Linked DNA regions of Sus scrofa. The protein of the gene in region 2 interacts with the protein of the main gene of each other region in a pairwise test. Links are inferred from orthologs where the notes say so. Each region holds a gene or a part of one and is shown on either strand. Other genes may lie near its edges.

Evidence for each region.
Region 1: the proteins of DRAP1 (region 2) and NFYB interact in binary tests that used the Homo sapiens proteins (3 or more experiments, as listed by UniProt). The two-hybrid records come from large-scale screens. The link is inferred for Sus scrofa from reciprocal best matches to the Homo sapiens genes DRAP1 and NFYB.

The regions. Positions count from the first base shown.
Region 1 is NC_010447.5:80,332,857-80,337,329, reverse strand, and holds the start of NFYB (nuclear transcription factor Y subunit beta), read right to left. Parts: upstream 2,818-4,473; 5' UTR 2,281-2,817; intron 857-2,280; 5' UTR 777-856; coding exon 771-776; intron 1-770. UniProt on the Homo sapiens protein: Component of the sequence-specific heterotrimeric transcription factor (NF-Y) which specifically recognizes a 5'-CCAAT-3' box motif found in the promoters of its target genes.
Region 2 is NC_010444.4:6,409,099-6,413,531, forward strand, and holds DRAP1 (dr1-associated corepressor), read right to left. Parts: upstream 2,838-4,433; 5' UTR 2,557-2,837; coding exon 2,515-2,556; intron 2,269-2,514; coding exon 2,196-2,268; intron 2,082-2,195; coding exon 1,988-2,081; intron 1,707-1,987; coding exon 1,379-1,706; intron 1,168-1,378; coding exon 1,079-1,167; intron 738-1,078; coding exon 632-737; 3' UTR 525-631; downstream 1-524. Other genes in the region: C2H11orf68 (UPF0696 protein C11orf68 homolog), read left to right, coding at 2,934-3,100, 3,790-4,433. UniProt on the Homo sapiens protein: The association of the DR1/DRAP1 heterodimer with TBP results in a functional repression of both activated and basal transcription of class II genes.

The DNA.
Region 1 (4,473 bases), on a different chromosome or scaffold from region 2:
CCCCCTATTTCACTTTAACTAAATTAGTTTGCAACTCAATCTTCAGAGTTGATAAAAATCTTTGTGCTAGAATGTGCTTTATTTAGGGATCACTAGGTACAGTTCTTTTGTTTTAGGAGTAAGGCAATCATGGCTCAAGGAAGTTGTGACATGCCTCATATCACAGATGTGGTAGCAGATCCAGAACTAGGTATCCAGACAGGCCAAGTGGTAGCTCTTCACTAGATTATCTTGTTAAATCCCCACCTGGACCATGCAGATCTATTTCCCAATCACTAAACCTAAGGCACTCACCCCTGCGTTCAGGCTTTTGCTTTTGGTGATGCCCTTACCTGTCCATTCCTACTCATGCGTCAAGGCTCAGTTCAAGCCCTAAAGGCTCCCTCCATGACATTCCCAACTACCCAGGCCTACCACACCTCTCTTATTTTCATTTGTGCTACCCTTAGAGCTAGCATTTCCTATTCCACACATGACTCTCCTCTAAGTATTCAATTTGACTAAAGTCCTCCCGGTTAAACAGACAGCCTCTCGAGCGCTGTGACAGCCTTTCACCCTGTAGCCTCGACAACACTTAGAGGCCCAAAGGAAACACTTAATACATGCAAGTCACTAAAAAAACGGAAGCAAAATGAATGAGGAGAGCTACTGTCTGGCCTTGCAAGGCATTCATCCTATCAGGAATCTCTGATCTAAATCAGGTCTAATTTTGTTTCCAGCTAATTACTATTCAAATCTAATTAATAACCAGAATAGTAAAACATACTTACTGTCATGAAATACTGGGTGAACCGTGTTGTCAGTGCTACTCCAGAACACCTGTCTAAAAAGGTGTCTGATCTTTGCCAATTTCAACCTAGAAGACAAACATCTATCAGTAGTGTAAAACTATAGCCCAAAGGCATTCTTCCTAGTAAAATTTAAAAAGGCATGTATAATTTTACCTACTATTCTTATTTAATGAACTGCATGGCTCTAAAATGGTTCAAAAAGCAAGCACCCAATAAATGTTTGTTAAATTGGGAGACGTATTTTGGAGGACTTATAAAAGTTCATGCTATTGGGGGAAGTACGGCTTTTCCAACAAAGCCCTATATTTAGTCATGTTCATCATAAATATTCATCACAACACACCAAATTATATAATACGCAAGAGGCCAAAAATTACATATCAACACCCAAGACACAAATATCCCACTTATCAACTTAATTTTTACTGATGGCTTTCCTTATGTTTTAGAGTGAGATTTAGGGTTCAAAAGCTCAAAAGGGAAGACAAGTTTATCTCAGGATATAATGCTTTCCAATTAAATATCTCAGATTATAGCGGGAAGAAGATACATGTTGCCCAGAGAACATCCAGAGAAAGAGAATACAGTCAATTAAGACCTGTATTATTTTAAAGCATCACCATTTGGGACTAAAATTGCATCTCAATAGCACTTCATTCTCACTGTAAGGCATAAATAGTTGAATAAATTGGCATCAATTACGATGTTACAATTTCCATTCTCATTTGCTCTTCCCCTTTTTTCAAGGGAAAAAAAGGGGGGGGAGACAAAGACATATCCTTTCTGTGCTAATTTTTAAAAGAAGACAAAATACTGATATGCATTCAAGCATGAAATCTAGCAAACAGAAAAAACTCTAACCACCAAATTGAATTTTCAAATGCTACTACAAGGGTCCATGCAGCAAAGACTGGCTGACATTGTCTACTGTTCTGTAATCCCAAAAGCAATTTCTAATTTCTTTCCAAATATCATCTTCACTCTAACCCCAAAGCTGCCCAGAAAATTCCTTCCTCGTAGCTAGAAGTGTCATTTTTTAAAGGTGCCGTGGGGGGAGGAGAGAGATCCTCAGAACACTTAAAATACAGGAGCTGTCTATATTTATGTATTTTTGCTGGGGGTTGGGGTGGTGCCACACCTCACCACAATCACTCACCCAAATAGTTGAGTCAGTATATGTTTAGATTCAATATATTAAAGAGAAACACTATCACCTCACATGGTATATATTTTCTTACAGGCAGGTTATGATATATGTGAAAGCTCAAGGCAATGCATACATATGTTTAATGTTTAAAGAAATCTGTATCCAAGAAAAGCAGCAGACCCTTCCTCCACCCTCCATTCTTTGGCATCAACAACCAGAGTTTTGCACCAATATAAGCCTTAAATTGAACTACGGGAGCAGAGTGAGAACGGAATAATTGCCTCTTAAGGAATTTTGGTTAAACTTTACTAATAAAACCCCCTATTTGTTAATGCCACTTACATTGATCAGTTCACCTCATCACTTTGTATTTCTGACTTGTCTCCATACAAGAGAGCCGAAACCACCCCAGTGACTCGTGGCACGGAACCGTGCAGTCCATGCAGGCTGGGATGCTATTTTTTAAAAGGTCATATGCTACTTAACCTTGCTTAAACCATCTTTTAGAGTACTCTGGGCGAGATTTCGTCTTGTAGGTGCTCTTCTAATTCTTTGTTCTCCAAGACTACTCCTGAGGCCCGGTATATCCTCCCCGCCTCCCACCGAAGATTAAAACCTTAGTCCAATCCGGAAGGCTTCCTTCCCACCTTCGGGGCAAGTCCAGGGACCGCAAGCCGCCAGATGGCTGCATTCTATACGCGTAAACCAGACTGCGGGGAAACCAAATCCACTCCTTCCTCCCGGGGACCTCGCTTCCTCCCCACGAAGGTGCGCGGGCTGGCCCGGGTCCCACCGTCCGCCCGGCCGACCTGTCGGTCCCGCCTGGGCGGCGCGGACACCCCGGGCAGGCATCCCCCCTACTCGGCCGGCTCAGGCCCGGGGCCCGCGCCTAACGCCCGCCCGCCGCGCGGCGCCCGGGGTGCCGGGGCAGACAAAGCGGCCCGGCCCTGCCATGCCCCCGCGGAGTGGCGGGCGGAAGAGGGGCGCTCCCCGGGAGCCCCCGCGCGGCGGAGGAGGAGGATCGGGGCCGGGGGTCCAGGCTGCATCCTCCCGCCCCCAGCCGGCTCGCCACACAAAATGGAGCCGGCCCGGACGCCACCGAGAGCGGGGCCCGACGGTGCCCCGGCGCCCCCTCCTCGGCCTCGGGCCCGGAGGTCGGCGGCGGCGAGCAGGAGGCGGCCTGGCCCGCGTCCCGCCGCTCCTCGGCCGGGCGCACAAAGAGCCGCGCCGCGGCCCAGCGCCCGCTTCCCAGCCGGGCCCGCAGCGGGGGAGGCCTCGCAGGCGCCGGCCCGGCCCCGGCCCCGGCCCGGGCGGGAGGGCGGGCAGGCGGGAGTGAGCCAAGTGCCCCCGGCCGCGGCGGCGTTGGCGGCGGGGACGGCGCCGGGAGGAGACGGACATTTCATTCGAGCTAAAGTGGAGTCGGTTTAGGAGCGATCATTGGCCGAAGCGAGACACAAACCTCCAATGCAGCCCTGGTTGGCTCCCGTCTCCAATCGGCTGTTTGGTTGGACAGAAAATGGCTGCGAAGGAACCAGTCCCAGCGCGGAGCTCCGCTTCCAGGACTCGGCCTTCCCTCCCTCCGCCGCGGGCCGCTTCCCTCGGCGCGACACCCTCCCTCCGCAGCTCCCGCGCGCCCGCCCGGCGCGGCCCCGCCCCGGCACGGCCCCGCCCCCAGCCCCGCCCCGTGCGCTGAGCAGCCCGCAGAGCCCGCTGCAGGCCGCCGCGAGTCGGTCCTGCGGCGCGAGCGGAGCCCGCGGGTGGCTTTTTCCTCGGCAGGGACTAGGGCTGGGGCTCGGTGCTAAGGTCAGTGCGGGCTTTCCGCGGTATTTTCCCCACGTCTTGCGCATGATTTCTCAGCTCTCCCTCTCTTTTCCATCCCCTCCCCTGGCGCACGTGGAAGTGTCTCACCCGCCAAAGTGCAGCCTGCCTGCGCCTCGAGTTTTAAGAAGGGGAAACCAAGGGCAAAAGCTGCCGGCCAGGCGACACTCGAGCTACAGGGTGGATCTGAACGGCGATTACCTCCTGGTATGCTTTCAGCGCCAGCTGTTCGCCTTGTGCCCCTGTTAAGTTTGCCACATGCACAACGCTCCCTCTCGGTCACCGAGCTCCCCGTTCGTTTTTTCAGATTTCACCTAAAGATACAATCCTCTGCTTTAGGTTTAACAACCTGCTCAGTCCAGCCAGCCTTCACCCCAGCTTAAAATGTTGCATATGCCCCACCCGCACAGTATTTGCGACATGCCATGTGGCTTTTCCCAACCAGATGATATTTGAGCTGCCAGAATCCATGGCCCCTTCTTGCCTCCGCGCAACCAGGCTCTCTGCCTGTCTTTCCCTGACTGCGTCTGTGTAGGACTTCCCTCGGCTGTGACTCTCACAGATGGGCGGTGAGCCAGACACCACACACTACAAAGGGGGCAGGATTTTTGCAACCAGAGCCGGGAATCGTTCCCTTTACTTCCACTAAACAAGTGGCCCGGTGCCACATTAAACTTTCCAGCTTTAATCTTTTAAAAATATATAGCCATGTTTTAT
Region 2 (4,433 bases):
TAGGCTGCCCATCGCTGCCCTGGCCTCTCCAGGCCGCTGCTCCCTGAACACAACACATCCGCCTCATCGGCCTCGTATGCATAGCTCCAGGGTCTGCTCAGGGCCCCTGGGGGCTCACAAGCCGGCCTTCCAGGTCCCCCATGACCTCACCTACCTCTGCTCCCGCTGCCCTTCCCACATGCCCTTCAAGGGCACTGGCTCCAGCTCTAGTTTTCAAGAGCTGTCTCTGTCACCTGTCCCATCTGTCTCTCTGCAGCAGCCCAGAGGGGGCAGAATGGTCTCCCTCAGAGAGACAAGAACAGGCTACTCAGAGTAGGAACCCGCCCAGGGTCACAGGGCACAACAAGACAGGCTGTCTCCCGGCATGACTGGCACCTGCCGGCTCAGGCCCTCCAGCACTCTGCCCACCTTCCCGCCATCAGCACCCCGGGCCCGGCCCCCTTCAGTCAGCTGCTGCCCAGCCGCCCTGGCCCTGGCTCAGTGTGGGGAAGGAGGCCATTAGGCCCTGGACAAGAGCTGGGACGGATACTGGAATTCCCTTTTATTTTTTTTTTTAATAAATTTAAGAACAGCTCTACCCTCTTCCCCCCAGAGCAGCTAAAAGGGGGTGTGGCCTGGGGGGCAGAGGGCGCTAGGAGTCATAATCTTCTTCGTCCTCTGCGTCAGGTGCTGCGGGGACCTGGGGCGCTGGGGGCAGAGGCAGAGTCGAGGTGAAGGGCGTGAAGGGTGTCGGGGGGCTGCAGGGCAGAAAGTGGGAAAGGAAGATCAGGCCACTCACCTGTGCCCAGTCCTGCCCGCTGAGCCCCACCCGGTCCTCCAGCCAGGCAGGCCTGGAGCCCACTGCCCTCTACCAGCAGGGAGCCGAGCCCAGAGAAGGGAAGGACCCAGGGCACACAGCCCTGCCCGGGGGAGGGGACTTTCTGAGAGCACAGAACCCAGCCGTTAAGTCCTCTTCAGTTCCTCCCGTCCCGTCTCCCAAATCTGCCACAACCAACAGAACCAAGGCGCCTGAGCGGTCAGAAAGGACAAGGCAGCTGGGGACCAGCTGGCCCCCTCTGGGTGCCACCGACCTGCTTACCTCTGAAAGTGGGCAGGGGGCTGGCTGGCCTGGGATGGGGCCTGTGATGTCTCCTCTTCCCCATCAGTATCTGTATCCTCAGACTCATCCTGGGAACAAGACAGGAATCAGAGGCGACAAGAAAGGCGTGGGCCCATTACTGGAAAGCCGGACCTCTGCAGCCGCCATGTGCAAGGCAACCAACACAAAGAGGTCACAGGTGAGGATGGGACCAGGCCTCCAGCCAGCTGGGCCTGGCCTGATGCAAGGCTGCCCTCTCCACCCTGCAAGGCAGGACAGAGGGCTGGGGCCTCAGCTCACCTCCTGCTCCGAGTCTGTCCCCGACAGCTTCTTGTCCTTGCCTTTGCTTCCCATGCCACCGTTCTTCCGGCTGCCGCCGCCTGGCTTCCGGCCCCTTCGGGAAGGTGGAGTCCATCTGCCCAGAGGTCTCCCCACTCCTCTGCCATCCCCCAAGACACCTCCAACCCCGGGGGCCTTGGCCTTCCCCACATGGACACTGACTCCCCACCTGCGAGGACCCTTGTCCCCGTCCATGTGGTTGTCTTCCCCATCTCCCTGCATGTCAGGCACAGAGGCCACCAGATCCTTTAAGAAGTCAAACTGCTGCTCCAGCTCAATGCACTGCTTCCTGGAAGAGGTGGGGAGGGAATGGCACTCAGGTGAGGCACAGATGTCTGTACTCTCAGCAAAGTGCTCTCTGGATGTCAGGGGAACAGAGCCTGGATCGTTTCAATCCCAGCCATGCCCCCTTTCTTAGAATACCCAGTCCCTGCCAACTCAAACCTACCAGCCTTTGAGTCCTCGCCCAGCCGCCTCCCACCTCCCTCCCTATCAGGGCACAGCCTCCCCTAAGCGTGTGGACTCCGGGCGGAGGCCCCACACGAGCCCTCCCAGATCGGAGCCACTCACAGGTGGGATGTGGTCATGGTCTTGGCATTTCTAGACTGGGTCACTTGGCAGGCCTTCTTCAGCAGTGACTCCAGGAAAAGCTCGAGCGCCCGAGCTGAGGGTCGTCAAGGCGAACGCGGGTTCTAACAATGTCCTGGCCCCCAAAAAGCGACCCGGGGCTGCCGGCCTCCCCCGCCTCCCTCAACCCAGCCAGCCCTCGACAGGATACAGATGATGACAGGCACAGCTGCCGCCACCTTCCCAATCTCTTCATCCGTCTGCATTATCTTCTTGATGCGTGCCTGAGGAAGGGGCAGAGAGCTCGGACCCCGTCGCCGCGGCCCCCGAAAGGGTGCGCGGGGCGGGGGGCAGAGAGAGGGAGCATCCCGGGAGGAAGGGGGCGGGGGGCACCGACGCGGAGAGGGCACGGAAGGGGGCGGGGCGTCCGGGCCCCCGAACGGCGCGATGCGCCCGCCTCCCTGGCCGGGCCTGGGCCGGAGCCTCCCGAGAGCCCGGCTCGTTCCTCCCGAGGCCGGCCACGTGCTCACCGGCGGGAACCGCGCGTTGTACTTCTTCTTCTTGCTCGGCATCTCGGGGCCTCTCTCGCCGCGCCGGGCCCAGCGCCGCCGCCCGCAGCCTCCCGGCCCCCGGGCCTGCTCGTCGCCCGCCCGCCGCGGTTCCCCCGGGTCCTGGTGCCGCCTCCTCCGCCCCCGCCACTCCCCCCACAGGGTCCTAGCGCCGCCGGTCAGCACTCGGCCGGCGGGGCCCGAGCGCCCTCCCCTCACAGCCTCCCGCCCGGTGCGCGTCTGTCCGGGACTGGACGGCCGCGACCGCCCGCCCCCAAGACCTGAAGAGCGAACGTTAGCTCCGCCCCCCGCAGGCCCGCCCCGCCTCGCGTTCCCAATGGCCCCGCCCCCGGGGTCAGCACCGCCCCGACGGCCCTGCCCCTTCCCCCCGGTCCCGCCCTATGCTGCGCTTGTCTATAAAGTTGTTGTTGAGGCGGCGGGGCAATAAGATGGCGGCGGCGGCTGCAGCCGTGGCGGGGGCGGGGCGCGGCGGCGGCGGCGCGGAGCCCCGGCAGGAGCGGAGCCGGGCCCGGGGCTGGGCCGGCGCCGAGCGCAGCGAAGGCCGGAGGTGACGCCCGGGCGGCGGGAGGGGGCAGGGCGGGGCGGGGCAGGGGCGCTGCTCGGGCCGTGAGCACTAATGGCGGCGGGCGCGGCGGGCGCGGCGGGGCGGGAGGCTGGCCCTCCCGCAGGCTCTAACAAGCCTGGGTTCGAGTCCGGGCTCGGCCCGTTGGCCTCGGATTGGTCACTGCCCTCTCTGGCCTGCATGTCTTCGTCTTTAAGTAGGCGGGATAACGCCCGCCTGGAGGCCTGGCCCTGTGGGGCCTGTCGGGGTGCCTCGTTCCATTACATCCCAGCGCCCGGGAGACCCGCCTGCCTTGGCAGCGTCGGGAGCCGCAGCTGGGCCGGCGGCCCCCACACCCGAGTTCACTTTTCGGCCCTTTCACGCACTGCAGGTGTGACCTTGGGTAAGCCCCCTCCTCTGTGAGCTTCAGTTTCCTACTCTGTAGGTCAAGGATAGTAGTGATAATAGTAACAGCATTTATATAGTTCTTGTTCCACCTCCTAGTATTTAATTCTCTACAGCTGTTTGAGACGGGAGCAGCTATTTTTCATTGTACAGATGAGGCAACTGAGGCACAGAGACATTAAGTTTTGCCCAAGGCCGCAGGGATTAGTTCAGTGCCTGGCACCTACGTGCTCAGGCCCAGGAAGCTGGATCTGTCCTGGACCTGCCCTAACTTGGTTCCCACCCGGCAGGATGGAACCAGGCGAGGAGCTGGAGGATGAAGATTCTCCAGGTGGTCGTGAAGATGGCTTCACTGCTGAGCACCTGGCCGCAGAGGCCATGGCAGCTGACATGGACCCCTGGCTGGTGTTTGATGCCCGAACCACACCTGCCACGGAGCTGGATGCCTGGTTGGCCAAGTACCCACCATCCCAGGTTACCCGCTATGGGGACCCTGGCTCTCCCAACTCTGAGCCCGTGGGCTGGATTGCAGCATATGGGCAGGGCTATGTCCCCAACTCAGGCGACGTGCAGGGCCTGCAGGCAGCCTGGGAGGCTCTGCAGACCAGCGGGCGCCCCGTCACACCAGGTACCCTGCGCCAGCTGGCCATCACCCACCACGTGCTCTCGGGCAAATGGCTGATACACCTGGCACCTGGCTTCAAGCTGGATCACGCCTGGGCTGGCATTGCTCGAGCCGTGGTCGAGGGCCGGCTTCAGGTAGCCAAGGTGAGCCCACGGGCCAAGGAGGGTGGGCGGCAGGTCATCTGTGTTTATACGGACGACTTCACGGACCGCTTGGGTGTACTGGAGGCAGATGCCGCCATCCGCGCGGCAGGCATTAAGTGTCTGCTCACCTACAAGCCTGACGTCTACACCTACCTGGGTATCTACC